7 linked regions of the Mus musculus genome follow. The main gene of each other region encodes a partner of the protein of the gene in region 2 in a complex. Links are inferred from orthologs where the notes say so. Each region holds a gene or a part of one and is shown on either strand. Other genes may lie near its edges. The genes, in order: Gpr21, Gnas, Crhr1, Hrh2, Olfr78, Fzd3 and Sctr.

Evidence for each region.
Region 1: the proteins of Gnas (region 2) and Gpr21 are in contact, whole or in part, in a cryo-EM structure (PDB 8HMV), measured with the Homo sapiens proteins. The link is inferred for Mus musculus from reciprocal best matches to the Homo sapiens genes GNAS and GPR21. Residues at the interface, in NP_000507.1 of Homo sapiens: Gln35, Arg38, His41, Val217, Pro321, Asp323, Arg342, Asp343, Leu346, Arg347, Thr350, Tyr358, Cys359, Pro361, Phe376, Cys379, Arg380, Asp381, Ile383, Gln384, Arg385, His387, Leu388, Gln390, Tyr391, Glu392, Leu393, Leu394; in NP_005285.1 of Homo sapiens: His61, His62, Thr64, Arg127, Ala130, Ile131, Thr132, Pro134, Leu135, Thr136, Tyr137, Asn138, Thr142, Pro143, Ile214, Ile217, Cys218, His221, Thr222, Asp224, Ile225, Arg228, Gln229, Arg231, Phe232, Arg249, Tyr250, Val253, Leu254, Asn308.
Region 3: the proteins of Gnas (region 2) and Crhr1 are in contact, whole or in part, in a cryo-EM structure (PDB 6P9X), measured with the Homo sapiens proteins. The link is inferred for Mus musculus from reciprocal best matches to the Homo sapiens genes GNAS and CRHR1. Residues at the interface, in NP_000507.1 of Homo sapiens: Gln35, Arg38, Ala39, His41, Val217, Phe219, Phe376, Cys379, Arg380, Asp381, Ile383, Gln384, Arg385, His387, Leu388, Gln390, Tyr391, Glu392, Leu393, Leu394; in NP_004373.2 of Homo sapiens: Arg151, His155, Tyr212, Leu213, Ala216, Ile217, Leu219, Thr220, Tyr221, Asp224, Arg227, Ile290, Ile293, Leu294, Lys297, Leu298, Ala300, Ser301, Lys311, Lys314, Ala315, Val318, Leu319, Leu322, Phe362, Tyr363, Asn367, Ser368, Glu369.
Region 4: the proteins of Gnas (region 2) and Hrh2 are in contact, whole or in part, in a cryo-EM structure (PDB 9IXJ), measured with the Homo sapiens proteins. The link is inferred for Mus musculus from reciprocal best matches to the Homo sapiens genes GNAS and HRH2. Residues at the interface, in NP_000507.1 of Homo sapiens: Gln35, Arg38, Ala39, His41, Asp215, Lys216, Val217, Asp343, Leu346, Arg347, Thr350, Tyr358, Phe376, Arg380, Asp381, Ile383, Gln384, Arg385, His387, Leu388, Arg389, Gln390, Tyr391, Glu392, Leu393, Leu394; in XP_006714928.1 of Homo sapiens: Arg116, Ala119, Val120, Met121, Pro123, Leu124, Arg125, Tyr126, Pro127, Val128, Ile205, Val208, Ala209, Gln212, Ala213, Arg215, Ile216, Ile219, Ser220, Trp222, Lys223, Lys231, Ala232, Thr235, Leu236, Leu291, Asn292, Arg293, Asp294, Arg296.
Region 5: the proteins of Gnas (region 2) and Olfr78 are in contact, whole or in part, in a cryo-EM structure (PDB 8F76), measured with the Homo sapiens proteins. The link is inferred for Mus musculus from reciprocal best matches to the Homo sapiens genes GNAS and OR51E2. Residues at the interface, in NP_000507.1 of Homo sapiens: Gln31, Gln35, Arg38, His41, Asp215, Val217, Phe219, Tyr358, Phe376, Cys379, Arg380, Ile383, Gln384, Arg385, His387, Leu388, Arg389, Gln390, Tyr391, Glu392, Leu393, Leu394; in NP_110401.1 of Homo sapiens: Met58, Tyr59, Asp120, Arg121, Ala124, Ile125, Cys126, His127, Pro128, Leu129, Arg130, His131, Ala132, Leu135, Asn136, Asn137, Ile220, Thr223, Val224, Leu227, Pro228, Ser229, Glu232, Lys235, Ala236, Thr239, Cys240, Lys294, Thr295, Lys296.
Region 6: the proteins of Gnas (region 2) and Fzd3 are in contact, whole or in part, in a cryo-EM structure (PDB 8JHI), measured with the Homo sapiens proteins. The link is inferred for Mus musculus from reciprocal best matches to the Homo sapiens genes GNAS and FZD3. Residues at the interface, in NP_000507.1 of Homo sapiens: Lys34, Tyr358, Gln384, His387, Leu388, Tyr391, Glu392, Leu393, Leu394; in NP_001399840.1 of Homo sapiens: Arg232, Lys318, Ser321, Glu322, Leu397, Val400, Lys408, Lys413, Leu414, Phe417.
Region 7: the proteins of Gnas (region 2) and Sctr are in contact, whole or in part, in a cryo-EM structure (PDB 6WZG), measured with the Homo sapiens proteins. The link is inferred for Mus musculus from reciprocal best matches to the Homo sapiens genes GNAS and SCTR. Residues at the interface, in NP_000507.1 of Homo sapiens: Gln35, His41, Val217, Phe219, Thr350, Tyr358, Phe376, Cys379, Arg380, Asp381, Ile383, Gln384, Arg385, His387, Leu388, Gln390, Tyr391, Glu392, Leu393, Leu394; in NP_002971.2 of Homo sapiens: Arg174, His178, Tyr239, Leu240, Leu243, Leu244, Ala245, Ser247, Phe248, Ser250, Glu251, Arg252, Leu320, Lys323, Thr326, Gln327, Thr329, Arg339, Arg342, Ser343, Leu347, Tyr388, Leu391, Asn392, Gly393.

The regions. Positions count from the first base shown.
Region 1 is NC_000068.7:37,515,345-37,519,425, forward strand, and holds Gpr21 (probable G-protein coupled receptor 21), read left to right. Parts: upstream 1-1,281; 5' UTR 1,282-1,355; intron 1,356-1,714; 5' UTR 1,715-2,099; coding exon 2,100-3,149; 3' UTR 3,150-3,937; downstream 3,938-4,081. UniProt on the Homo sapiens protein: Orphan receptor.
Region 2 is NC_000068.7:174,339,359-174,342,858, forward strand, and holds part of Gnas (protein GNAS), read left to right. Parts: intron 1-2,291; coding exon of another isoform or gene 2,292-2,294; coding exon 2,295-2,349; intron 2,350-2,451; coding exon 2,452-2,571; intron 2,572-3,500. UniProt on the Homo sapiens protein: Guanine nucleotide-binding proteins (G proteins) function as transducers in numerous signaling pathways controlled by G protein-coupled receptors (GPCRs).
Region 3 is NC_000077.6:104,170,781-104,173,401, reverse strand, and holds part of Crhr1 (corticotropin-releasing factor receptor 1 isoform 1 precursor), read right to left. Parts: intron 492-2,621; coding exon 419-491; intron 97-418; coding exon 11-96; intron 1-10.
Region 4 is NC_000079.6:54,190,853-54,194,928, reverse strand, and holds the start of Hrh2 (histamine H2 receptor), read right to left. Parts: upstream 2,801-4,076; 5' UTR 2,736-2,800; intron 1-2,735. UniProt on the Homo sapiens protein: The H2 subclass of histamine receptors mediates gastric acid secretion. Also appears to regulate gastrointestinal motility and intestinal secretion. Possible role in regulating cell growth and differentiation.
Region 5 is NC_000073.6:102,756,672-102,760,713, reverse strand, and holds the start of Olfr78 (olfactory receptor 51E2), read left to right. Parts: upstream 1-1,242; 5' UTR 1,243-1,404; intron 1,405-4,042. UniProt on the Homo sapiens protein: Olfactory receptor. Activated by the odorant, beta-ionone, a synthetic terpenoid. The activity of this receptor is probably mediated by G-proteins leading to the elevation of intracellular Ca(2+), cAMP and activation of the protein kinases PKA and MAPK3/MAPK1.
Region 6 is NC_000080.6:65,259,664-65,263,815, forward strand, and holds the start of Fzd3 (frizzled-3 precursor), read right to left. Parts: upstream 2,801-4,152; 5' UTR 2,669-2,800; intron 1-2,668. UniProt on the Homo sapiens protein: Receptor for Wnt proteins.
Region 7 is NC_000067.6:120,061,507-120,064,034, reverse strand, and holds the end of Sctr (secretin receptor isoform 1 precursor), read right to left. Parts: intron 2,142-2,528; coding exon 2,100-2,141; intron 1,409-2,099; coding exon of another isoform or gene 1,253-1,408; exon of another isoform or gene 924-1,252; coding exon 753-923; 3' UTR 501-752; downstream 1-500.

The sequences.
Region 1 (4,081 bases), about 140 Mb from region 2:
ACTACAGCTGTGCTGATATACTGGATTATAAAATTGCAGATCAAGAGACTGATGGATATATTGTGTAAGAGGTTCTCAGGGGTAGAACCCTCAGCATACATGTGCTAGGGACTGGGAGAGTAGGAACAGGAGTACCTCAAGTTATCTGTGAGTGACAGTGACTTAAATACAAAAATCTCTGAGGCAGGAGGCTGTCCCTTCTGTGCTGCTCTTCTCTACTGAGGCCTGTCACATTATGTTATTTGTCTCCTTGAACATGTCTCGGGGGTCCTTACTTTCCTGAATTAAAGTGTTCACACTTCACTGAGCTGTGATTGTAAGCATCCTTTGCCCACAGTAAGAAAGCATGGATAAAAATAAATAAAAATACAAGTTGGATCACATGGTTCTTTGTTCAAGTGTACAGATCTCCTAGGATTACTACAGTTGCAGCATTTGTTTTCCTTTACTGATGATGTGAGGCTTTATTCAGGCAAAATTATACCATTCCCACAGCACCCAGTTTATGAAAACGGAAAGCACCCTTTATGACATTATCCAAAAAAGTAGTGTGTTATTTCAATTTGCATTGTTTTAGATAAGTAGAAACAAGATTGAACTGTAAGATTCAAAGACTTGGTACCTAAATATCTGTGTACTGTCACTCCACTCAAGTGGAGTACCTAACTAAACTGAGGAAGAAGGAGAGAACAAATAGCACCATTTCCAAATATTAGCCAATATCTAATAAATGATAAAGGAAAATTGAGGCTGAATATTGTCTCTCAGCTGTAACGTCTTGTGCAGCTGAATTAGACTTCCTCGGGTGCCATGTACTGTTACCATGCTTCCTTCCTGTGACACTGTCCTTTGTTCTTAGGGACACAAAAAAATAGGACTTTCCCCCCTCTCTCCTCTGGTACTGTACTTCAGCCCAAATCCCAACTCCTCCCTCTCTCCATCCCCACCTCTGCCCATGTTTCTTACTGGCAATCTGAATTCTGCTCATTTACCTATGAGGAAGATTGCCGACCGACAAGGAAACAGCTTTCAGATACATCCTGTGGGCGCACCAAGCCAGCGCCTACTGTGCCGTCGGGAATTCCTCTATGGGAATAAATGGTAATGAGTTGTCCAGCACGCTAGAGTGTGTGTGTGCCCTAGCACACAAGTTGCCCTGCCCTGCCCTGCCCTGCCCCACCCCCTTTCTTCCTTTTCCCAAGCCCCTCTCTCTGCTTCTCCTCCTACTCCTTTAGCCCCTCCCTCTGTGCCTTAGTTCTGCAGTAGGCTGGCTTTACGAACATTCCTGCATTGCAAGGCTTTCGGTTAAGGATGTATTGTGGCTTTTGTTTGGATTTCAGCATGCAGAATCACAGGTAACACTCTGAAATTGAGCTAAGCAGATAAATTGTATTAAGGTGTTTGCAGAGATATAATAGTACATTGGATTTAATGGAGAAAATAATCTTGGTTAATTTTTATCAATGATAATGTCTTCAGGATTACCATAAGGAGATTCTCCTACAACACGTAAAATAAAAGAAAATGAGGGTTTATAATTTCTTTATGTTGATCTTGGAAGCATGGTATTGCTGTTCCTCCAAAGTAAGGGCCGTTTATGGAGGAGGCTGCTTAGGGTGAAGTGGGAGGGGTGCTGGCAGTCAGAGCTAGCTAGGTTCTTTGTCTAGGATGTGGAATGCAAAATGTAAAATGCTCTCTCCTTTTCTTCTATCAGCTGTTCAGAGGAGACTCATTACAACTCCTGCTGAAGCTACTAATCTTCCTCCCTCTGCCCCTCCCCCACCCACACTTGGCCTGAAGACACTGTCCCCAGTTTGCCTTACTCCCTTGCTATGTGTTTGGTGAAACTGGCAGTATGGCTGCGTCTGGGACTGGCCAGACAACTGCTGTTGGCTTTCCCTATTCCAGGAAGAATTTAAAGGGAAATTGTACAGCAGGCAGTATACCCACCACAGCAGCAACCTCAGGAACGTGATGACTAGGGCTCCCTGGCTTTGTCACAGGCATGCAAAGCTGACTGCAGTGACAGTAGCTGCTCCTGAGAACTGAGACAGCAGCCAGGTGGCAGCATGAAGTGAGAGCCAGTTCCTGAGCACGAGATGAACTCCACCTGGGATGGTAATCAGAGCAGCCATCCTTTCTGTCTTCTGGCACTGGGCTACTTGGAAACTGTCAGGTTCTGTCTTTTGGAAGTGCTGATTATTGTCTTTCTAACTGTATTGATTATTTCTGGCAACATCATTGTGATTTTTGTGTTTCACTGTGCACCTCTGTTGAACCATCATTCTACAAGTTATTTTATTCAGACAATGGCATATGCTGACCTCTTGGTTGGGGTAAGCTGCCTGGTCCCTTCCTTATCACTCCTCTACTACCCTCTTCCGATTGAGGAGGCCATGACTTGCCAAGTATTTGGTTTTGTAGTGTCAGTTCTGAAGAGTATCTCTATGGCTTCTCTGGCCTGTATCAGCATTGATAGATATATTGCCATCACTAAGCCTTTAACCTATAATACCCTGGTTACTCCCTGGAGACTACGCCTCTGTATTTTTCTGATTTGGCTGTATTCCACCCTGGTCTTCCTGCCTTCCTTCTTCCACTGGGGTAAACCCGGATATCATGGAGATGTATTTCAGTGGTGTGCAGAGTCCTGGCACACCAACTCCTACTTCACATTGTTCATCGTGATGATGCTGTACGCCCCAGCTGCCCTCATTGTCTGCTTCACGTATTTCAACATCTTCCGCATCTGCCAGCAGCACACAAAAGAAATCAGCGAAAGGCAAGCCCGATTCAGCAGCCAGAATGGGGAGACTGGGGAACCCCAGACCTGTCCAGATAAGCGCTATGCCATGGTCCTATTCAGAATCACCAGTGTGTTTTATGTCCTCTGGTTGCCATACATCATCTACTTCTTGCTGGAGAGTTCTACTGGCTGCAGCAGCCGCCTTGCATCCTTCCTGACTACCTGGCTTGCTATTAGTAACAGTTTCTGCAACTGTATCATTTACAGTCTCTCCAACAGTGTTTTCCAGCGAGGACTAAAGGGCCTTTCAGGGTCTCTGTGTACTTCTTGTGCAAGTCACACCACAGCCAAGGACCCTTACACAGTTAGGTGCAAAGGACCCCCTAATGGATCTCATATCTGAGGGGGGCTCATATATTCAGTCGCTCTATTTTCAAGGAGAAAGGATGGCTTTGGTTCAGTTTTTTTTCTCTCCATCTCTGCTTCCAGTTCACTAGAGAAGTAAGAGCAGCTACAGACTATCCAGATAACCTTCATAGTTTGCAGAAGTTGCTTCCTAAATGAGATTTAAAATTAGAAGAATCAGGATCATAAAAAGAATCACTCTTGATCCAGTTTTTGAAATGTCATGGAAGTGACTACAGTTCTCAGATTCAAAAGGAGTAAAGCCATAGTTGACACCTCTCCCCACTGGCGTGGCTGAATCTGGGTGTGAAAAGCATCAGCATGTTAAAAATAACCATTTTCTTGCCCCTTTCTGGATTCTTAAATGCAAGTTGGAATTTATGTGCAATTGGTTATCTTCTAACAGAAAATATTAACATATATTGATGAACTAGCAAGGATTTTCTTTATCTGTGCCAAAATATAACTGTACTGCAAGTTTCAGCATTCATTTGGATAGTGAAATATTTTCTTTTCTTGCCTTTTGAGAGCAATCTCCATAGGATGAGTAATGTGAGCACGGAATATTACTTTATAGAGTTTTGAAATGAAGCAACTGTGCAGTGAAGCCATACAGTGTGTGAGAGCCAGCTGCTTTCACGACATGCTTCTGAGCATCGTGAGCATGTGTGCAGTAATGACATTACAGTGCTCTTTCTGGGCCTCTGTCTGTAAATATTGAGAATGTGTACACTGAGTTGGATTTTTTATAACAAAATGTATTTAATCTAAATAAATAATAGAGGGACAGCTGTCCAATTGTAATGTGAAAATATGTTTTTTAAAGTGACTGTAGTGTTTTCTGTTCTAATCCAAAGTCTTCAATGAGAACTGAGTCCACTGACGCAATCAGCCCAGGGTCAATGTAAACTGTCTGTCTTCTAAATAGTC
Region 2 (3,500 bases):
CCTGTTGAGAACACCCCCAACCTCTAAACCTTGCAGGCCCTCACCTAAGAGATGGACACCAATAAAAAATATATAGTGAGATCATTCAGAACACAGGGCCCCTCCCAAAATACACAAGCCTGCATGGAAAGAAAGCCCCAAATATCAGCTATGATAAGTCTTTGTTGAAAGAATGGGTTCTTTGGGTGTGGTCCTATTGGTGGGCATGAACATGACCCCCATATTCCCACTCTATTGGCAGGCACTCACATGGCCTCAGACCCCCAACCAATTTGCAGGCATGCACATGACCCCAGAACCCCACCCAACTTACAGGCATGCACATGACCCCCAGACCCCCACTCTTGGTGGGTACCCCAGAAACCCCCAGATCACCACTATTGGTGGGCACCTCCAGATTCCCATCCCTTTGGTGGGTATCCACATGATGCCAGACCCCTACTCTATTGGCAGGTATCCCCATGTCCCCCAAGTCTCCACCCTATTGGTGGGTATGCACATGGCCTCACGGACTCCCACCCCATTGGTGGGTATACATATGACCCCCAGACCCCCACCCCATTGGCAGGAATGCACATGCCTCCCAGACCCCTACCCTATTAGGAGATCTACATGCCTCCCAGACCCCACCCCATTAGCAGATATCTACATGCCTCCCAGACCCCACCCCATTGGCAGATATCCACATGATCCCTCAGACCCCCACCCCATTGGCAGATATCCACATGACCCCCAGGCCCTCACCCCGTTGGTGGGTATCCACATGACTCCCAGAACCCCACCCCATTGGCAGATATCCACATGCCTCCCAGACCTCCACCCCATTGGCAGATATCCACATGATCCTCCAGACCCCCACCCCATTGGTGGGTATCCACATGACCCCCAGACCCCCACTCCATTGGCAGATATCCACATGATCCTCCAGACCCCCACCCCATTGGTGGGTATCCACATGACCCCCACTCCATTGGCAGATATCCACATGACCCCCCAGAACCCCACCCTATTGGCAGGTATCCACATGCCCCAAGATCTCTACACCTCTGTCAGGCACATGGCCCCCCAGATCTCCACCTGAGGCCTGCCTGCCACCCCTCCTGGCTATAGTAGCCTCTGGTCCCCATCTTGCAACTTTACTAATTAATTTTCTACCCTGTTCCATGGGGAGGGGGCGTGATTTAACTTTCGCTATCTTGTGACTTCAATTTAATGTCAGTAAAAGCACCTCTGCCCTACCTCTGTCACTGCCACCTAGTCCTCTACCTCAGTTTCCTTATCAGAAAGGGTCTGTTCCTCTCCAATGCCCTGTTCTGTGCTACCAGGCCTCACCCTGAGGGTGCAGTGCATGCTGGTCTTCTAATCCCCCATTGGCCATGCAGAAGATTAGGCTCAGACAAAATGGAGTCTGCTCCAAGCAGGGAAGTGGGGCTTTGCTGCTCCCCTAAGTACAAGCTCGAGATTCTCTATGGCTGTGCCTGGCATATAGGCTGTCTCCTAAAAGACACAGCATTTTGAACCACTGTAACCTCCATAAATTAGCATTCCTTCTGGGGGGGACACCATCCACCCCCAAAACCAGAAGATGTGACCTGTGACCTGTGGGATCGCTGACTCTGACTGCATACAAATCATCCCAGAAAGGCCACAGAAGTTATCCCAGAGGCTGGTTTAAATAAGCAAACATCTAGCCAACTCCTCCTCCAGTATCCATGAACCCAATGCCCACCAACAATGTGGGGACCCAGGACTCCTAGCCACAACTGGGGGCCTGTTCAAAAGTGCTGTGAGCCACAGAACCCCAAACAACATCTTCCCTCCCTGGTGACAGATGCATAGATACTTAAATAATTAGATCTACAAATATGGAAATGGAAAACCCTAATATCAATAATAAACACTTGTCACCTCTGGGTCTCACAAACTACTGAATCCCAAGTTCAGCATGTACTAACCCTACCTCCATACAACCCTCCCTGTGCTAATCAAGAGCCACGCAGGAAGCAGCAGGGTGTGGTTGGAATGGACAGTAGACCAGGTGCAATTTCTGGTCCAGTTAATCAAGATCTCGATGCCATGTCTCTAACCCAGCCTTATCAGGCCTGTCCTCAGGACATGATTGGGAAATTATGATTTATTTTTATTTGGATGCCTTCAATCTATAGATCTAGCCCACAATTCCTTGGAAAACAGAATACTATGCTTTTTAGTTGACGTGTCTCAATGACGATAACACCCTGGTGGGCAGGATGCAATATGATTTTCTTTTTTTTTTCCTTTCAATCCCACTGTAGTGAGAAGGCCACTAAAGTGCAGGACATCAAAAACAACCTGAAGGAGGCCATTGAAGTATGTGTCTAGCTCCTTGCTCTTATCTTTTAGCAAGCCCCTCGCCCCACGGTGCTGCCCCCCCCACCCCCACGCCTGACCAATTTGCTAAACTGTTTTCAGACCATTGTGGCCGCCATGAGCAACCTGGTGCCCCCTGTGGAGCTGGCCAACCCTGAGAACCAGTTCAGAGTGGACTACATTCTGAGCGTGATGAACGTGCCGAACTTTGACTTCCCACCTGTAAGCTCCACCCTAACCCTGGTTTCCTCTGCCCCTCTCACCTTAGTCCCAGTGGGAACACGAGGGCCAGACTTGCATCAGGCCAGAGTGACCAGACACATACCTGCCGTGTGAATGCATAAGTTAACTCCAGGCATATGCCTAAGACTAAAGGATGATAAAGACATGATTAGGGCTTTGTCCAAAATGGATGAACAAAGTTCCATCACCTTTTCTAGACCTCAACCTAGTCCTCCATTTATCAGATAGTGAGTTTTTTTTTATGGAGGAGAGGTCCTGAGCTAAGGCAAGCTCAATTATTCCCCTCATACACATGAGGACAGACAAAACCACATGTTTGTTACACATGGCACACAAGTCCTAATTGTCCAGTTAATCCAGCCTAGTACAAATATGCACCTTCCAATGTTCAGATCTAAACATAAATTACAAAATGGAACATTATAAGAAAAAAATTGTTCTCATCAGCCCTTTGCCGGGAGCCTGACCCTCTTGACAAGGGTCTCTTGGCTTTCTAAAAGCTTTTTTTAGAGAGGGTAGAACTGCCCTGCGTCAAGCATATGTACACTTTAACCCTTCGTGGGGGGAGCAAAGATTTTTAAAGCCAAAAGAAGAGACTTGTCTAAAGTTAAGAAGTCATTGCTGCCTCTTCTTAAGCTTTTGTGGGGTTTGTGTTTTTTAGATGGGTTTTGGCTACAAACTTGTGAGAAAAATTAGTACAGGCAGGTACATTAAAAAAAAAATAGCTGTTGATTAAAACAATAAGAACAACAGCAACAGCAACAACAAAAACCAACCCTCCCAACAGGGAAACACAGCATGGATTCTATAGTCATCTGATTCCCATGATTCACAGAGACAAAATGGCAGCCTACCCACAATGCATCTGATGTCATTGACATCTGCTACTCTGATATCTGGACAATATT
Region 3 (2,621 bases), on a different chromosome or scaffold from region 2:
AGCCAGGTACCTGTACTGAATAGTCTCAGATGTGGTGGATGCTCGGAGTTTGGTCATGAGGATGCGGACAATGTTGAAGAGAAAGATAAAGTTGATCTGCAATTGGAGCACACCAGAAGGAGTGAGGATGGGTGGCAGGGGCTGGGGTGGGTAGCAGGGACAAATGCAGGAAATGGAGGTGGGTGGGGTGGATGGGACCGGCTTTCCTCGGCTCTCTCAGCTCTGCTCTTGGTATTTCTGCTGCACTCGCTCATACAAACACACACACACACACACACACACACACACACACACACACACACACACACAGGCACGCACGTACTCCCTCTTCCTCCCTCCTTCTCTCAATACTGTCCATGGTAGACAGACTGTCCCACCCCATGGTGGCCTGTCTCCTGCTACCTCCTGAGGCTCTTACCAGCAGGACCAGGATCATGGGGCCCTGGTAGATGTAGTCAGTATATACTCCAGGACGTTTGCCAAACCAGCACCTAGAAGACCACAGAGGAAAGGGAAGAGAGGGATTAGTCCTTTCAGTGGTGTAGTGCTTGAACATAGGGCAGGGTCATTGACAGTGGTCAGGAAAGGGCACCCCAATTTCCAAGAAAGCCAGTCCAACTGACTCTCCTTCAATGCCTCAGTGAACCCGTCTGCAAAGTGGGTGGTACCCTCTGATGTAGGATGCGAAGCTGGAGCAAACTCTGTGGAGGGAGGGGCCATGAAGGCCCCTGATTGTGACAGCCACCATCCTCATCTACGCAGTTGTGGCTGCTTGTAAGGACCCCTCAAGATGGGACTGATTGTTGATATTCCTCCCACAGAAAGGAGAAGTAGAGTGGGAGGGTTAGTGGGCCCTTGCCTGAGATTCCAGCCATGTCTGCCTACACCTCTAGGTGCCCACTGCACATAGCTTCATGGTCTTAGGAGATGCTCGAGTTTGTAGAGTTAACTGGAGGTTAACTCTATGGAGGTTAAGTGCATTCATATCATAGGGAAGTCTTTATCCATGCTGTGGGGAGACTTTCTAGTGGTGCGGCTACTTTGAGGTCACCTATGCGCCTGTAAATAGCTCCTTACCCTGGCCCTGTAAACATCCCCTGAAGTTCATTGTTTCCTCAGCTGGACTTAGGTGAATTGCACCTGAGTTTGTGGTTGGGTCCCTGGCAGGCAGGGGTAGCTTGCTTGTTTGCGTTTCCCAGGGAAAGAATTCTCCAAACAGCAATCCAGAAACAGCCTGAAGCCTGACACTGCAACTGCATTCTCTGGTGTCCACCAAGAGACTCTGGCAGTGGCCATGGCTGAGCGATGCTCACTGCCCTGTCACACAGCAGTTTCTGCGGGACTCTGGGAGTGCAGCCCATGCAGGGAAAGGTTTCACAGCTAGCACCTATTGCAAGATGTCAGCCTGTTCTGCATTCTCCTGAACTGCCCTTTACTCGGCAAGCTCCTGGGAGTAGGCAGGGACAGGGCGAATCGGAAGTCCCGTGTCCTTATGGGCATATGGGATTGCAATGGATGCTGTAAACCAGAATGTGAAGTTAGCATATGTGACCCCCTGGCTGAAACGTCAAGTTTTTTTTGTTTTTGTTTTTGTTTTCTTAACACCACTCAGGTCATATGCCACTGTTTGTGGACTCCAGACTGGGACCCCGGGGCCTCGCTGCTCATCTTCCCCCACTTCTGCTGCAGTGTCAGCATTTGTCCACCAGATGGAGCTTCAGAGCTGCTCACACCTAACCTTACAGCATCCTTCCTGCTCCAGGGTGGGAGCAGGCTCCTTTCTGGGTTTTCCTTCGCTGCCTGTCTCTTGCCTTCTTCCGCCTCTCCCTCCTTCCCAGTCTCTTCTATTCAAAATTTCATATCCTACAAAGCACAGGCATCCCCATCCAGGCATTCCCAAGAAGATACCACCCCCACCCCGCGCCCACACCCTTCCCCGGGATACCGCACCCACTGTCAGTGAACTGGCTCCCTGCAGCCTGCCGCCTACCCTGCTTTGGCACAAACACCCCAGCCTGAGGCAGAAGGAACAACGTTCACAAATATGGATGATACTCCCCCGGGCTTCTTGTGCAGCCCAGTGAGGGGAAAGGAGCGTCTGTCAGTGTGAACCCCCAGTCAGCTAGCTGGGAGCTGGGGATGCTTAAGTGTGACCCAGCTCCTCCCACCTTCTCAGTCTTTCTGCGAAGTTCTCAATCTTGGCTTTACACAGTAACCACCCTGTTACCCAGGCCACACCTCAGTCTGGTAGCATGGAGCCCTGAGGTATAGAACTTTCTAGAGCTTCCCATATGATCCTTGTGAGGGATAGCCAGAAAGTCCCCCATGTGCAAGGCTTCAGGTTGTGCTGGAAAAGGCTTTGAAACCACTTGAACCAGGTTTTTTTTTTTTTTTTTTTTTTTGTAAAGCATACCTTGATGTTAATAAACATTTATGCAGCACTTACTGGGTGGCAGATGCTATTCTTCGTGCTTAGTAGGCACTGATGCCCTTCATCCCCACTACAGCCTTGAGGTGGCAAATAAAATGAAGATGCCCATTTCATGGATGAGGAAACTGAGGCCTGCTGTGACAATGAGCTCCAAGGTCACACATAGCTACTTGGTGATGGCAACAATTCA
Region 4 (4,076 bases), on a different chromosome or scaffold from region 2:
TGCCATTGCCACGTGTGCATGTGTGCTGCTGTTGTGGCAAGAACACACATGCTAGCTATGTGAAGGAACTAGTGAGAAAAGACAGGGTAGGTAGGTCCCATAGTCCCCGCCCTCAGTGGTCTCCAGGGTCCCATAGTCCCCGCCTTCAGGGGTCCCCAGGGAGGTGCATACCCATACGTATGAAACACAGAAGAACTGTGCATGTCAGTTAATGAGAACTGGGACAGGTGGCGATTGGAAGAAGATAGGAAACAAGATGGTGACCAACTCAGTCTGGCAAACATTGCTTCTGAGGACACTGTCTACCGAGGCTCTGGAAGTCTCAGAGGTGGCATGCCCATCCACTGAACCATACCAGGAACACCTCTTTCCTTCACTCACTTCCTTCCTTCTGCAAGACCACAGCCCTGGAAGCCACGGAGATCTCCATGCTGATTAGCGAAGTAGGTACTCCTTGCAGAAAATCAGGAAAGCCCTGGGAGCAACCATGACCCCAATCCTGCCACCATGGGCAAATGTTGCTAACCTTCTTTTGATCCCTCCCTTTCTAGGTTTTTGTCTCAAATCCAGGGTCATGCCATGTCTGCAATGGATAAGGGTGTCCCCAACCAATATTACTGTTTTTAGTAAAGACTTGTCTGCCCCTATTGTTGGGCATTTAGGCACTCTTTTGAGTTTTGGTAACTGTCTTGGGGATTGCAGTCATCTTCATTCTCCTCCATCACTCCATGTGGATGGATGTACTCTTGTTTTAAAACATTCTTGGCAAAGAGCCTTTTTGGCTTGCTGAGACCCTTACCCCATTACCAGGGATTTCTTTCCCAAGGATGAACCAAATCCTTCTGATTGCAGTTTAATCCTGCTTTTACTTCCTCGGGGCGTTGGTGGAGTGGGACCACAGCTGGGTTTGTTTTCCCTGCGGACATGATGACTGGGAAGGCTTCTGGAGAGAGTGTCTCTAAAAGGAGTGTTTGCCAGATTGAATCTGTCACCAGATTTTTGTCTTCTGTCTTGTCCCTCCTATTCAGATGTCACTGTCACTTGGATGACACGGACTGAGTCAACCCAGTTAGTACAAGTTAGCCATTAGTCCAGGACAGAGGGAATGGGCATGCCTCAGAACCCAGGGGAGCTGTCCAGGCTGAGACTCAGCGGGGAGGGGGGTAATCGGGACAGGGTGACACAGGGCGGAGTCAGCTGCAGAGGCGAAGCAGTTCAGTATTGCTTTCTGTGGGACACTGAGCAGTGGCCTTCCTTCCTTCCTGAGCTTTAGAGGCAATGCTTGGTGAGGGTACCAGCTCTCACTGACAACCATCAGTCACCTCCAGGAAGTGTGCAGCTATTCTTCCGGTGTGGGACAAGGAGGGAACTATAGCCAAGTCTACACTGGGAGCTGTGCATTTCATGCTCTTATTTAATGGCTGGGACTAGAATGATACAAAGCAGTATCACCCCTGCAGCTGGGAGGATGGGAGGCCAAACTCCACAGCAGGGACTACGGGAAATCACTGTGGAGAACCTCGGTTTCTCCGTCTGCAATAGGGGGTTAACAATACCGGTCCCCAGAAGTACTGTGATGACAACTTTAGTCTGAATTATTATACACCTAATGTGCCTGGTGCCAGGCCTGCCCACAAATGATATCTTTACTCTTTCCGGTTTTCCCCAAACCCAGCTCAGAGATCAGTCCCATAGTCCTGGATAACCTTTGGGGAAAGCAAACATGTTTATAGAAATTCATAACTCTCTCTTATAATTAAGAAAGCAGAAGCTTGGCCAAGACTTATCTGGGAGATGTCTCTTAAAAAAGCCACCTTGACATGTGTCTGAGGGGAGGGGTGGGGCTCCTAAGACTTGAACCTCTCCATTCTCTGGGCCCTGTTCTATGCCTCATGCTTAGCTACATATATGACCTCCAGACAAACAGTGCCAAGGCTCAGTAGACGCCAAAGTTAGTGTATGACAGTGACCAGTGGGAACACCTCTGCTCAAGGGTGCTTTACTGCCCTGTGAATGTCAGAGGGGGAAACTGAGGCTTTCAGGCTCAAGGTCACTGGGTTTCTCAAACCAGAGTCAAGGCCACTTCTGAACTTCCACTACCAGTGAACAGCTATCAGATGTCCCTGGTGTCTCGGACAGCTACCAGAACAGCTACCAGAGTCCCTCCCAGTCTAGCGCAGGGAACTCCTCGCTTCCCAGCAGCCCAGGAATGGGGCAGCAGCCCAGGAGGACTTAGGCAAGGCGACCTGTTCTTGAGAAACTAGACAGCCTCCTTCCTGTCAGCCCCTGACGCTTCACTGGTGCTGGGGAGTCAAAAGTCTCTCCAAGCTCCCACACATATATCAGGAGACTCACGCCACCGCCCAGAGGGCACAAAGCAAGCCTTTAAGCGCAAGAAGATTTTCAAATTCACCTTAGAGGGCACGGGGGTGTGAGGCTACCCTGGCATCCCTCACATCCGCGGGATGAGGCAGCAAGCCTAGCTCATAACACCCCTTTGGGGGTGGGTATGACCCTTGAGGGTGACAGGGAGGAAATCTAGGTAGAGGCATCAGCCCAAGGTCAGGTGCTTCCTGTGTGCAGCGCAGCCTGAGGTCGATCTGGGGACGGGGGTCGGCAGGAATCTGAAGCAGGCAGCCAAAGTGGCCACGCCACAGCCTGGTCTCCGCGCAACCCCACCCGCGTCCCCATCCCGAGGCGACGTCTGCCAGGAGGCGTCGGTCACCTTACCTTACCTGGTGCTGCTGCTGTGCGCCACCGGCTGTACCGGGTCGCTTAGGACTGCGCGCTTGCACTGGCTGGGGCAAGGATGGAGCTGGCGGCGTGCGCCTAGCACCCACTTCCTCGTCCCCGCCCCCAACTCGCTCCTCCTCGTTCTGAAAGCCGCTCCTTTCCTCAGCGTTTTCTCCCATATTCATCCTCCCCTCTTCCTTTCTCCCCCCTCTCCCTTTCCCCCCTCTTCCCCTTCTTCCTTCTGTCTCCCCCTTTCTTGCTCTCTCTTCCTCCCTCTCTTCCCCCTTCCCAACCCCCCTTTTCTTCTTTGGACGCTTTCACCCCTCCCTCTTCTTTCCTCCCTTTCACATGGTCATCTGTCACGTCCCCCCCCTCCCGCCACCACCCCCACCACCACCCCGCCACCCCCACCCCCACCCCGCCACCCCTCCTACATATTCTGGCTACTTATTCTGGGCAGCTCCCTGGCCTGAGACTCTGCCCACCTGTGTGCACATTGATGGTGTGAGGGGAGATGCTCAGTCTTGGCTCACTCTGGTTTGAGAACGCTAGGCCAGAAATCTGATGAGCCCTTCACCTGAGTTCCTCCAGGACCTGACCACTCCGAGAATGGCCAGTTGCGAGAGAAGAACCAGCTTTTCTGAGAAAATCCTGGAAGATCTTGGGAATCTGGAAAGCCAGATTTGGGTAGATCTCAGTCAGCCCAGGGGTTCTGGTGGAAAGAAATGGGAGGGGGTTGGGGCTTTGGAAGCAGGACAAATAAAAACTGTCCAGGTAGACTGTTCCACCTCCTAGATGCTGAGCCAGTGCAACCTGAGGCGGAGTGTCTGGCAGGAGGTAGTGTCTCAAATCAGTGCAGACCCAAGCCTCTTACTTTTCTTTGACAAACTCCCTCCACGTAGCAGATTCCCCTCAAGTACCCAGGGGCAGCTCATCTGGCCACCTGCCTCCCTAGCTAGGCTGCTACTCCAGTGCCTAGCACAGCACTGTGGTCATTCTGCCTGTCCCTATCTTCTCTCCTGAAGTTCTTGTGGCAAGCACTAGATAAGTGTCTCTATTTGTGAGCCAGTTTCCTCCTCTGTGACCCTAAGGGTCATGCTCACCTCACGGAGGCTTGGATAACAACAGATAAAGCCTTGGGCCAAGGCAGTGAAAGGGATACAGGGTGAGCTTTGTGCACACTCTGCTCACTAGGGATGCATTCGCCATGTTCCCTTGTGCCAAACCAGTCTGTTTCCAAGGTAGACTTTTGAGCTCTTCTCTTGCCATTCACAAAGCATCTTAGGTCATCTCTAAAACGTGCAAGTTGGTCACATGTCTCTGCTCCTGGGCGTCCAACCCTC
Region 5 (4,042 bases), on a different chromosome or scaffold from region 2:
TGACCTTGGATTGGTAGGACTGCAGGAACAACTAAAGAAACCATGTATATAACCAATCTGTGAATAATGCTTAGTAAAGACGTGGGGGAGGGGGGAGGGAAAATAGTCAACTCACCTTAGATAGCATCACAAGCCAAAGACAACTCCTACCTCCCCTGATTCCTTAACATAATAGTACCATAATTTGAACACAGTACATATGCTCCCCAAATCATCTGAGTTACTCTCCCACCTTGCCTCTTCACATACCAAAATAGAAAGCAGATAAAATTATGGAAAAAAATAAAGAAGAAGGTATTATTTTCTGTGTACCTAAATTATGGACTGAGATGTTTTACCACCCTGTTTACAAAACACCTGTTTCTAAGATAACTTTGTTTTTGATTAGCATGTGAATGTTAGCCTGTCTCTCTTCTAAAAGTCTAGGCAGTGGGCTTATGTTGTGTTCTTTTTTTATTATTATTAATCCCTAGCACTTACAGAATAGCTAGAACATAGGGCATCATTATGAAATCTATATGCATAGATGACTGTACAAGTTATTTCCTAATCTTAAGAGGTAGTTACTTAATGATCCAGTGTTACTATGAATAATGCCAGACTAGGAGGTTAAAACACTATGGAGTCTAGCTGCATATGTATCAAAAGATGGCCTAGTCGGCCATCACTGGAAAGAGAGGCCCATTGGACTTGCAAACTTTATATGCCCCAGTACAGGGGGATGCCAGGGCCAAAAAGTGGGAGTGGGTGGGGAGGGGAGTGGGGGGGGAGGGTATGGGGGACTTTTGGGATAGCATTGGAAATGTAAATGAGGAAAATGCCTAATAAAAATATTTTTAAAAAAACATTATGGAGTGAAGTAAACTTATTACCATAGCAGGAGATGTTTTAAGCATATGATATTTCATTTTTAAATTCACCTCAAATGGCCTGCTAATGGTTATGGCATTTTTGAGGTGGTGAAATTTCCCTATATTGGATTGTGGTGATGGTTCCTGCATAATTCTGTGATTTTTCTTAAAAACTATTGAGTTATACACTATAAATGAGTCAATTTTATAGTATGTGTACTGTATCTCAATAAAGCTGTTATTAAAAAAGAAAACTTTCCAATGAAACAGCACAAGGACAAAACTTTACATCAGCTCATAAAGCATGTAGGCATAATCACATTCTGGAAGAGATATAAAAAGCCTGTGTCAGGCAAGTGGAGTCCTCGGGGAGTGCCCACACCCTAGAGGCACAGTGAATTAGCACTGCCGCTGGGAACCGGTCCCTCGACTCTGCTGATCTCCAAACAAGCTGAATAAATCTCAACATAAGCTGGACCCTCCTCTGGAATCTGAAGCTTCCTCCAACCTTCTGAGTTAGATTGAGGGGACTCATTGCTGCTGGATGGGCTCTGTAAGTAAAACTGTTCAGTGCAAGCCCCTGCCTCTGGGTGAGCCATACATACTGTCTTAGCACTGGGGGAGGATTACATTGTGGTGTGCAGAATTAGATAAGCTAATGTAATAGAGAACTGAAGAGGATGGAAAACTTTTGAATTATGGATTCCCAGGAAATCTACAGAGAATGAGCACTTTGTTCTGCCTGCTGGGGGGTTCGGGGGGGGGGGGTCAGACAACCTGTCTTTAGTCAAATGGCTTAATTGGTATGCGGATACATTTGTCATAAGTTAACCTCATTTCTAAATCCAATGACTCACACAAAAGATAAAAGCTTGCAGCTCATCATAGTGATACATGCCTGCAAAGACCAGCACTTGGGAAATGAGGCTAGGAAGATTGGAAGCTCAGGGTGACCCTTGGCCACATACTAGGCTCAAAGTCAACCTGTGAAAGATGAGACTCTGTTTCAAAAATCTAAATCAATATAAATTTAATTTAAAAATAAAAGTAAAAAGTGAAATTACCTGTTGTGAACATTTTTTGCATGCCAGTGCTCTATTAGGCAGTTTATATCTAGCCCTATAGATGAGTAAACTATACTAAAAGAAGTTTACATAGCTTATAGGTTTCAGTGAAATAAGGCATGTTTAAGAGTATAAACATTGTAATTAAGGAAAACTGATTTCAGAATACTGGCTGTGGGTCTCACCAGCTATCTGTGATGCTGAGTATGTTTCATAACATCTCTCACATTTGGTTATGACTTTTTTCACTGAAAAAGTAACTTCAAAGTAAATTTATTAATGCCACACATATATATATGTTGTTATAATGGGATCTTAAGACTAGCACAGTAACGCTTGATGATCTGACAAATGTGTTTTAACAGTATGAACAATTTTTATTGCTGACAAGGCTTCCAAAGGATTGTCTGAATACAGATCCAACCCTTGTCTGATACACACTATAGACCAGCAGCAGCAGCAGCTTGGAACACACTGATGATACGGCATTGGTCTAAATCATCAACTGAAGGAAAGGCAGACACAGGCTACAGCTTTCAGTATTAATGGAAAAAAAGCACATTATCTAAGTAGGAGAGTTCACAAGAGAAAGAATGAAGTTGTCTATGACTTGAAGAAAATGAGTCTGACAGGTCTGAGAGTGCCGGCACACTGAAGAATGGTTTAAAAGAGACAGAAATGATGAAGAATCCTTATAATCTCAACACTCAGGAGGCCAAGGCAACAGGATTGTGACTACAGGACAGCCTGGGCTCCATCGTAAAATCTTGTCTTGTTGAAAGGAAAAAAAAAAGATGCAGAATAATTTCTAGAAAATGTGGTGTATTTTTTATGCAATTTTATGCAATTTTTTAATGTAACAAAAAGATGTGATAAACTATAATGTCAAGTACCAACTGGCATCTTGGACATTTGAGAACTAAAATAAATAGCAAAATAAATAAATAAATAAATAAATATATTACTGGCAAGACAGATCTAAAATGGGGATGAGAGAGGGGAAATGAGTAATTTTAATTAGATGATTATTAGACCTTAATTCCATTGGCAGATAACTGAAAGAAACAGGGAGTGGAGAAAGAAATGAGTCTGCTGAGCTCTGCTGGAGGTTGTAGTGTCTGAGGACTGAGACTATGTCTCTCAAAAACAGGTGTTTTGTTTGCTTTTTATTACCACTGGAAGCAAAGAGCTTTTATTTGTTCTCCAAACTGTGGCTCAACTGCAGATTTGAGCACATCAGCCCGGTCCACATTTCACTGCTGCCTTCATGTTTAACCCTTCACCTTTCTGATAACTTTTGCAATACAGAATTGGGAGATGTTAGCTGCACGCATCAGGTGGACGGGGGTTATTTAAAGCCATGGTCATAATGAGGTTATCTCTAGGAGAGGCTATGGACTGCAGGAAGGGATAAATAAAGCCAAATTTTCTCCAGTGCCACAATTTAGAAGGCAGAGAATAGTATTTGCTAATAAATAGTGGAAAGGGCTAATCTGTCAGAGGAGTCATCACTGAAGCAATTGAAAAAGAAAGGATCAAGGAAGAGGTAAGTGGGAGAAAAAACATATCTGGAATTTACACAGAATACTTAGAAATACATTAGTCACTGAGTTGAAAGATTTTCTGAGAGTTCTCAGTGGGGAAGTATCCTGCTTGTTACCAAGGGTGAAGGAAAAATAAACAAAAGCAGATTGTTCTTCAAGCTCTTCCTTGCTCGCTGTAAACTATGCAAAAGGAAAACCGAAGAAGGGATGGTATTTATGACTGGTCCCTCTGTTATCTAAGCACTGTGGTTAATAACGACAGATAGTGATGGGTCCCAGTTGAGATGAGTATGTTGAAAGTCTCTACACTAAAGTGAAAAAAAGCATTCATTATTGAGTTGGGATAGAACTTGTAAATAGGACCCAATGGAGCCCAGCAAAATGCTAAAGAAAGAAAGGAATGCTGTTGGAACTAAATTAGAAGAGACAGACAATGGCTTGTTTACTTACTCATAAAATATTTGGAAATGCCTGGGTCTTGATGCTTCGCAATGCAAAATCTACCACATTATCCTTTCCAAGAAATTCAAGATTCTTATGTTTTCAATCACTCACTTCTCCCTCACCTAAAGGAGACTCACGT
Region 6 (4,152 bases), on a different chromosome or scaffold from region 2:
TGGTCCAAGAACTCTGAGCTTTTGTGAGGAAATAGCAAGTGCTCGTGTTTTTCCCTTAGCAAAACCATATGCTTTGTGTGCTTTCAGTAAAGTACTGTTTTGGTGAGACATAATGAGGGGGAGACTGGAATGTATTAAGCTCACTCCCTGAGTTGTAGTCTTCAAAAGCTTCATTTATAGTGCATTCCCTGGATGCACTGAAGCTAGTGGTTCCCAGAATGATAAACTAGAAATTGGAGAGGGAGACCATTTCTGAAACAGCAGCTAAACGTCTCTTCGAGCCAATGAAGAGTTGTTATTCCCAGCCTTACAAGTACCACCACTGAAAACTCCTTTTCTTTCCTCAGAACCTTACTGTATCTCTCTGCACAGATCTCTACTGAATGAAGATAATGATGTGCTAAGAACTGCTACCTACCACCTGCCTCCTAAGAACAATCAATATACCAAGATGCTCAGAAGGCTTTGGGTTTTTTTGGTTTTGGGTTTTTTTTATTTGAGAAGAGGTTTCTCTATGCAGTCCTGGGTGTCCTGGAACTGGCTATGTAAACCAAGCCAGCCTTGAATTCACAGAGATTCTCCTTTAAGTGATGGGATAAAAGGTGTGTGCCACCACACCTGATTTCATGCTCAGTTTTACATACAAAATCATTGTAGAGTGTTAGTAACAAACTAATATAAAACATAAGTGGGGTAGATTCCCAGCTCCCAGAGGTCAAGCAGGGAAACACTCTTTTGTAAGCAGAACCCCCTCCTCTCTTCTTCCCACACAATAAAGGTTTCATGCTGTATTATACAAAGACTTACACTGTATTATACACATCACTATTAAATTCCTCTCAACCCTTTCTACTTCAAATATCTCAAGCATGGAATTAAAACAAAACAAAACAAATTAAAACAAAACAAAACAAAACAACCATCCACTTGAAGACCCAAAACAGAAAATAAAGTTCATAGAAATCTGGGGGGAAACGGACGAGAAGGCCACAGTCACTTTCTCTTCTATTAATGGACCCTTACTAGCCTTTTAAGAGATGAGAGGCACATTATCACTAGACAAAAGGAAAAAAAAACAGGAAAGATGAAAGAGAATTCTAGACTTTATTTAAAAATATGCCTATTTTGCTAACAGTTTCAAAGCATTTGGGGGCAGACAGATCAACACTACCCACTGTTTTACTAAGTCTAGGGAAGAGCTGCAACCGGGTTATAGTTTATCTCGGTTTTATCCTTCCAAATATTTACACTCCTTTCCCTGGCTCCTTAACCCTGAATCTTTTTACCTTTATGCTGTGGTTCAAGAAAATGTGTTGTTTCGGGGGTGGAGGGGGGACGACGACGACGACACTGATTTGTTTAAAGGTAGAGAGAGAATGTAAGGTCTTATCGCCTCCTTTCTTTTTGAGAAAGTGGTCCACTACACAGCCTATTCTGGCCTGTAACTTTCGGAGATTCTCTTGCTTTAGTTTCCGATTACTCAAATTACAGGCATGAGCCATTATCATGCACAACTTGAGTACCCGCTTCTTAATACACAACTAGATTTATCTAGTCCTCTTCTAGCCCATTATGCCCAGTAGACCACCGAGGACCAAAGCAGGCTGAGAAGGGAGGTGGCATCCTTAAGCCCAGCTGGTCTTTGTTTCCCTGCTCTCATGTACTGGTTTTGCAAAGCAACCCAATTCCCATCAACAAACATTCTGGATGTACTGAAGGACTTTCCCACCGTGAGATTTAAGCTGGTGCGTCTGTTCGGCAGTCTGAGAAATTCAGAAGGGAGCTAAAAATTGTGATTCTATCATTGGGCGAAAACCCAGACCTCTCGAGACGTTTTTCAACTTTAAGTCTCTTCTGCCTAATTAATGGCATGTGCTTTTGTTCTTTTTCTACCCACAAGAGGGAAAGAATAGGAAAAGGGAGGAGAAAAGAAAAATGAAAAAGCCCTCTCCTCTTCCCTTGAGGAAGTCCCTACCTCCAAGAGTCCCAAGATGCGAAAAGCCTATGGGATGTTTACAACCTTAACGTTACCCGCATCTCAGTGCCTTTATTCCAGAGGCTAGGAATTCACGCCGCATCCCAGGGCAAATCTGCCGACCCCGAGTCCCCACCGCGGGGGTACCTGGGGAGCGCGCGGCGCTGGGAGCCTCCGACTTTGCAAACTGATGGGCAGCAAGGGACAACTTTTGGGCGCTGGGTGTCAGGGGTCGGCCGGGGGCTGCAGGGAAGCAGCGGCGCCGGAGCTCGGCGCATCGTCCTCCCGCCCACGCCCCCGCGGCGCCGAGCGCAGAAACCGGCTGGGCCCGGCCTCGCTCCCCGCAGGCGACCGGCGCGGGGACCCGCCGCGTCCACACTCGCACAGGTTGCCCGGCGCGGGCGGGACGTACCGGCCCCGCCGCTTTCCCAGGGCATCCTCGCTTAGAGCGGCCGCGGCCCCGAACTCCGCGCCGCCCACTCCGACCCGGCTCCGGCCGGGCCGCTCGCCAGCCGCAGCTCCGCGCCCGCCTCGGCAGCGCCGGCCTCGGGCTTTTGTTCGGCCGCGACGCGAGCAGCGAGCGCCGCCTGACGAGGGGCGGCTGGGCTGGGGCAGGCGCCTCGGCGCTCTCCACACGCAACGCTCCTCTCCCGCCCTCCCGGCCCCGGAGGAAACGTCGGCCGCACGACTCACCTCACCGCCGGCCTCCGGGCTCTCCCGGGCAGCGCCGCTGGCCCCGCAGGCAGCCGCGCGTCCCTCAGGTTCCCCGAGCGGCCGAGGACCGCAGGCGCGCCGAGCCTTCGCGAGCGTCGAGGCGCGCGGCCCGGGGAGGGAGGTGCGCGCGCACGTGCCGCGCATGCGCGCTACGGTCAGCCTCCTATCCAGCTCCTGGCTGTGCAGCGCTGACCGGCTTCGTTGTTCTCAGCCTGGCGTCCTAGGTGATAGTGACGTCTTGAGCGCCGCGCGTCGGTTTGGTGGTTCCCAGCGCTGGAGGCATTCATCCAACATGTGCCCAGTCCTTCTTGCAAAGTCCGCCTGAGCCAAGTTCTCAGTGCGGGTCCAGTGCGGAAGCCAGTGTGCCAACCTCGGACCTCGGGGACTCACGGTGAAGGGTAGTGCCGCGCACAGGTAGCAAGGGACACCCGGTCTGTTGCAACGCTGCACTCTGACCGGCGAAGCAGGTGCACACTTCGCGTCCTCTCCACCGAGACCTTACTATAAACAGACGGAGCTTGTGCTCGCTGGTGACATGCCTCATCTTCCGCTTAGAGGGCTCCCCACTCCCTTTGCTATATGCACGGCTTGAGGAGCTGAAAGATTTCTTTAGAGGTCATCTAAACACAATTTTATTTTTTCCCAACAGGGAGAAGAACTCTCAGAAAGGTTGGATGTCTTACTTAGTCACACAGCATTTTAATGGAAGAGCCTGTATTCAATTAATCGTGATTGCGTTTCTCTTTGTTACAGGGTTTTACCTATCTTTCTTTTTGTCCATCTTCAACTTAGAGTCCATGGCTTCATTTGGTTCTCTTGGTAGCTCACAGGACATACAGCAACGTTGGCCCTGTTGCAAGTGATTGTACTTGACACTACTGACCCTTATGTTTATAAATGGCTACGGTGAGAACATATGGGCTGAAGATACAGTTCTGTTGGTAAAACATTTGCTATACAAGCGGAAGAACCTGAGTTACATCCCCAGAACCCACAAAACAACAACAACAACAAAATAACAACAACAAAATCAGTCCTAATAGCAGGCACTTGTGGTCCCAGTGCTGGGGAGGTGGAGCCAGGGTGGGTCCTGGGGCTAGCTAGTCACTCAGCCTAGCCCATTTGGTGAATCCCCAGGCCAGTGAAAGATTTGTCTCAAAAAACTAGGTGGAGAGCAACTGACTAACACACCTGTAGTTGACCTCTGGCCCATAGGTGTACAGAGAGACAGATAACAAGAGACAGAGTCAGATATAATTTTTAAAAGGTTCTCAGGTAATTTAGTGAATGCTGAAAAGTCTTGTGCTCAGGTCAGTCTCACATCAGAATTGACAGAATTTGATAGGCCAGCGTGATAAACAAAATCTGAAATAGCAATTTCCACTTTCCTTATTGGCACTTGTGCAGCAACATTTTCAGGACAATAATGTTGATTCTTAGGGCCATTCCAGGCAAATCAGCAT
Region 7 (2,528 bases), on a different chromosome or scaffold from region 2:
GAAGGCAGGACAATTGTAAGTTCAAGGCCATCTCCAGCTACCTAGGGAATAGCAGACCAGCCTGGGTTACCGGAGATGCTGTCTCAAAGCAACAAGGCTTCCATATCGATGTCAAGTAGTTTGGCCATGCCTGGGGCCTTCGAGGAGCTGTCTCCCACCCACTGAGAGAGAGCACAGCTCACTTTCCTAGGCACTTAGCTTTCCATGAAGTCCTCCTACCTCATCAGGGTTATGTAACGAGAGGGGGTCAGATGCCCTATGGCTTTATCATCTTAATTTACCTTTGTCCTGAAGGCTTGGTGAGAGAGCTATGGGACAGACAAGATCTGTCTGAGGCTAAGGGTCTTGATTCCTCGTGTGTTCTGGGCTTCTGAGCTTGTTCTTAAAAGTGAGCTGGGATTTGGAGGCAGGGAAGCACCCTCCTCCTGCAGGGAGGAGTTGGAAAGTGATCTAGAACACACTCCTTCTCCAGGTAGCAAAGACTGACACACAGGCTAGGCTTTTCTGGATGTCATTTTATTTCTCTGCCCCTTCTGGGGCCGCTGAAGTGCTCTTCTTAGAAGAACTAGAAAGACCAAATCCCAGGCCTGTTTCCTGCTCCAGGATGACCTAGTCTCCTCTTGCTTGATCTCTGAGGAAGCTCAGACCTCGGGGACAGGCCTGTGCAGCCACTCGAACACAAAATGGCTACCTGGCCGATGTCCATCCTACCGAGCATCCAACCCTTTGTCTGCTGCTGGCTTGCTGCAGCCTCAGATGACATTGGCCCCGGGGATGCTCCGGCTCTGCTCAGAGGTGCCAGCCTTGGTGCTGTGGGTGGGGCCGTTGGTGGCGTTGCTGAAGGAGTTGCTGAGGGCCACAGGGCGCAGCGGGAACTCTTGGAGGTGCCACTGGCGCCATTTTTTCTGAACTTCCAGCTGCACCTGCCCAAGACCGCCATCAGCTGCAGCAATTGCTTGGGAGGGAAGGCCAGGCCTGTGCCTGGAACCCAACTCACTGGTTGGTCCAGCTGGTCCTGTTCTGCCGGGTCCCCTTGCCTAAAGGCCTCTGAATGACCATTTCCTGTCCCCTGTGTAGAAGGTACTGAAGGCCCCCTGTAATCTGAGCACTTGTATCGGTCTTTAATTTTTTTAAAAAATTATCTTTTACTTTATTAATTTTTTTGAGACAGAAGAGAGGGGGAGAGAGAGTGAGCGAGCAAGAGAACAGATGGTATTCTTGTGAGGTCAGAGGACAACTTGAGTTTCTCCTTCTACCACGTCAGTTCTGGAAATTGAACTTGGTTGTCAGTCTTAGGGCAACCGCTCTCACCCACTGAGCCATCCTGCCTGATCCGTACCTGCCGTCTTTCAACACTACCCTCAGAAAATGAGTGAGATGTATTTGTTCCACAAACGGCAGCATCGACCTGCACGAGTTGATGCAGGTTGAGTATTCCCATCAAACCCCCGACCCTAGCTCAGAATCCCTCTGGATCTGAGGATTTTCTCTGCAGACATGTCCTTAATGGTCCTCAATAGAACACTCGAGCCAGCCTCTGGATTCAGGTGTGATGTTTGAGTTTTGGGAAATATCTGAGGTCATTCCCATTCAAGTGTGTGAACCAGACAGATTGGCCAGTAGCCACAGAGACACTTGGCTTGTGTGCAGTGACTTACTTAGCCAGGGCCCATAACTAGAGCTTCATATCCTGAAACTGAAGCTTCCGTGCAAGGCCGGGGTGGTTCTGAGTGACCCATTTTACCCTTGGGAAGACGGCACTCCAGGTGGGAAGTGACCAAGTCACACACAAAGCAAGTATCAGAGATGCCAGGAGCTTGGCTTCTGGGGGTGGGGGGAGCTGAGCTCATCTGGGTTTGCCGAACTGGCCCACAGATAAGGAGCACCCAGAGAGCTTAGTAAAGATCACTTTACCAACCTCGGCCCAGAATCTACTTCTGCTGGCTCTGTCCTGGGGATATCGCCCAGGATGTGACTTAACATACGTCCGGGTGACTCTGCCAAGCAAGCAGACCTGTCCAGAACCCTTCCCATCCCTCTCCACCGCTCTCTGCAGGGAACTTCTGCATTGGAATCCCACGGTGCCCCAGGACACTCACCTCACCATTGAGGAAGCAGTAAAGGACAGCTACCACCAGCCCCTGCCAGAAGGAATTGGGTTAGTTCATATGCTGGGTTGCTGGACTTAGCTCATACCTCCTACCCTGCCCTGCCTGAGTCTGCCCCCAAGAACTTGAGAGAGCATGAATGTCTGCGAGCATACACACAGACACATGAGTAAACATTTCTCTCTCTCTCTCTCTCTCTCTCTCTCTCTCTCTCTCTCTCACACACACACACACACACACACATACATACACATACCTTGGAGAATTCCCTACTTTGGCGCCCACATTGCCCTGATGTGCCTGTCTTGTTGAACACAAATCGGGAATCATTTTCACCTATTGACCCTGAGGCCTGGCACGTGACGCTTGTCAGAGGTGATAAGGAGCTTCTCACTAAAGGGATGACCGAGATCCCCCGAA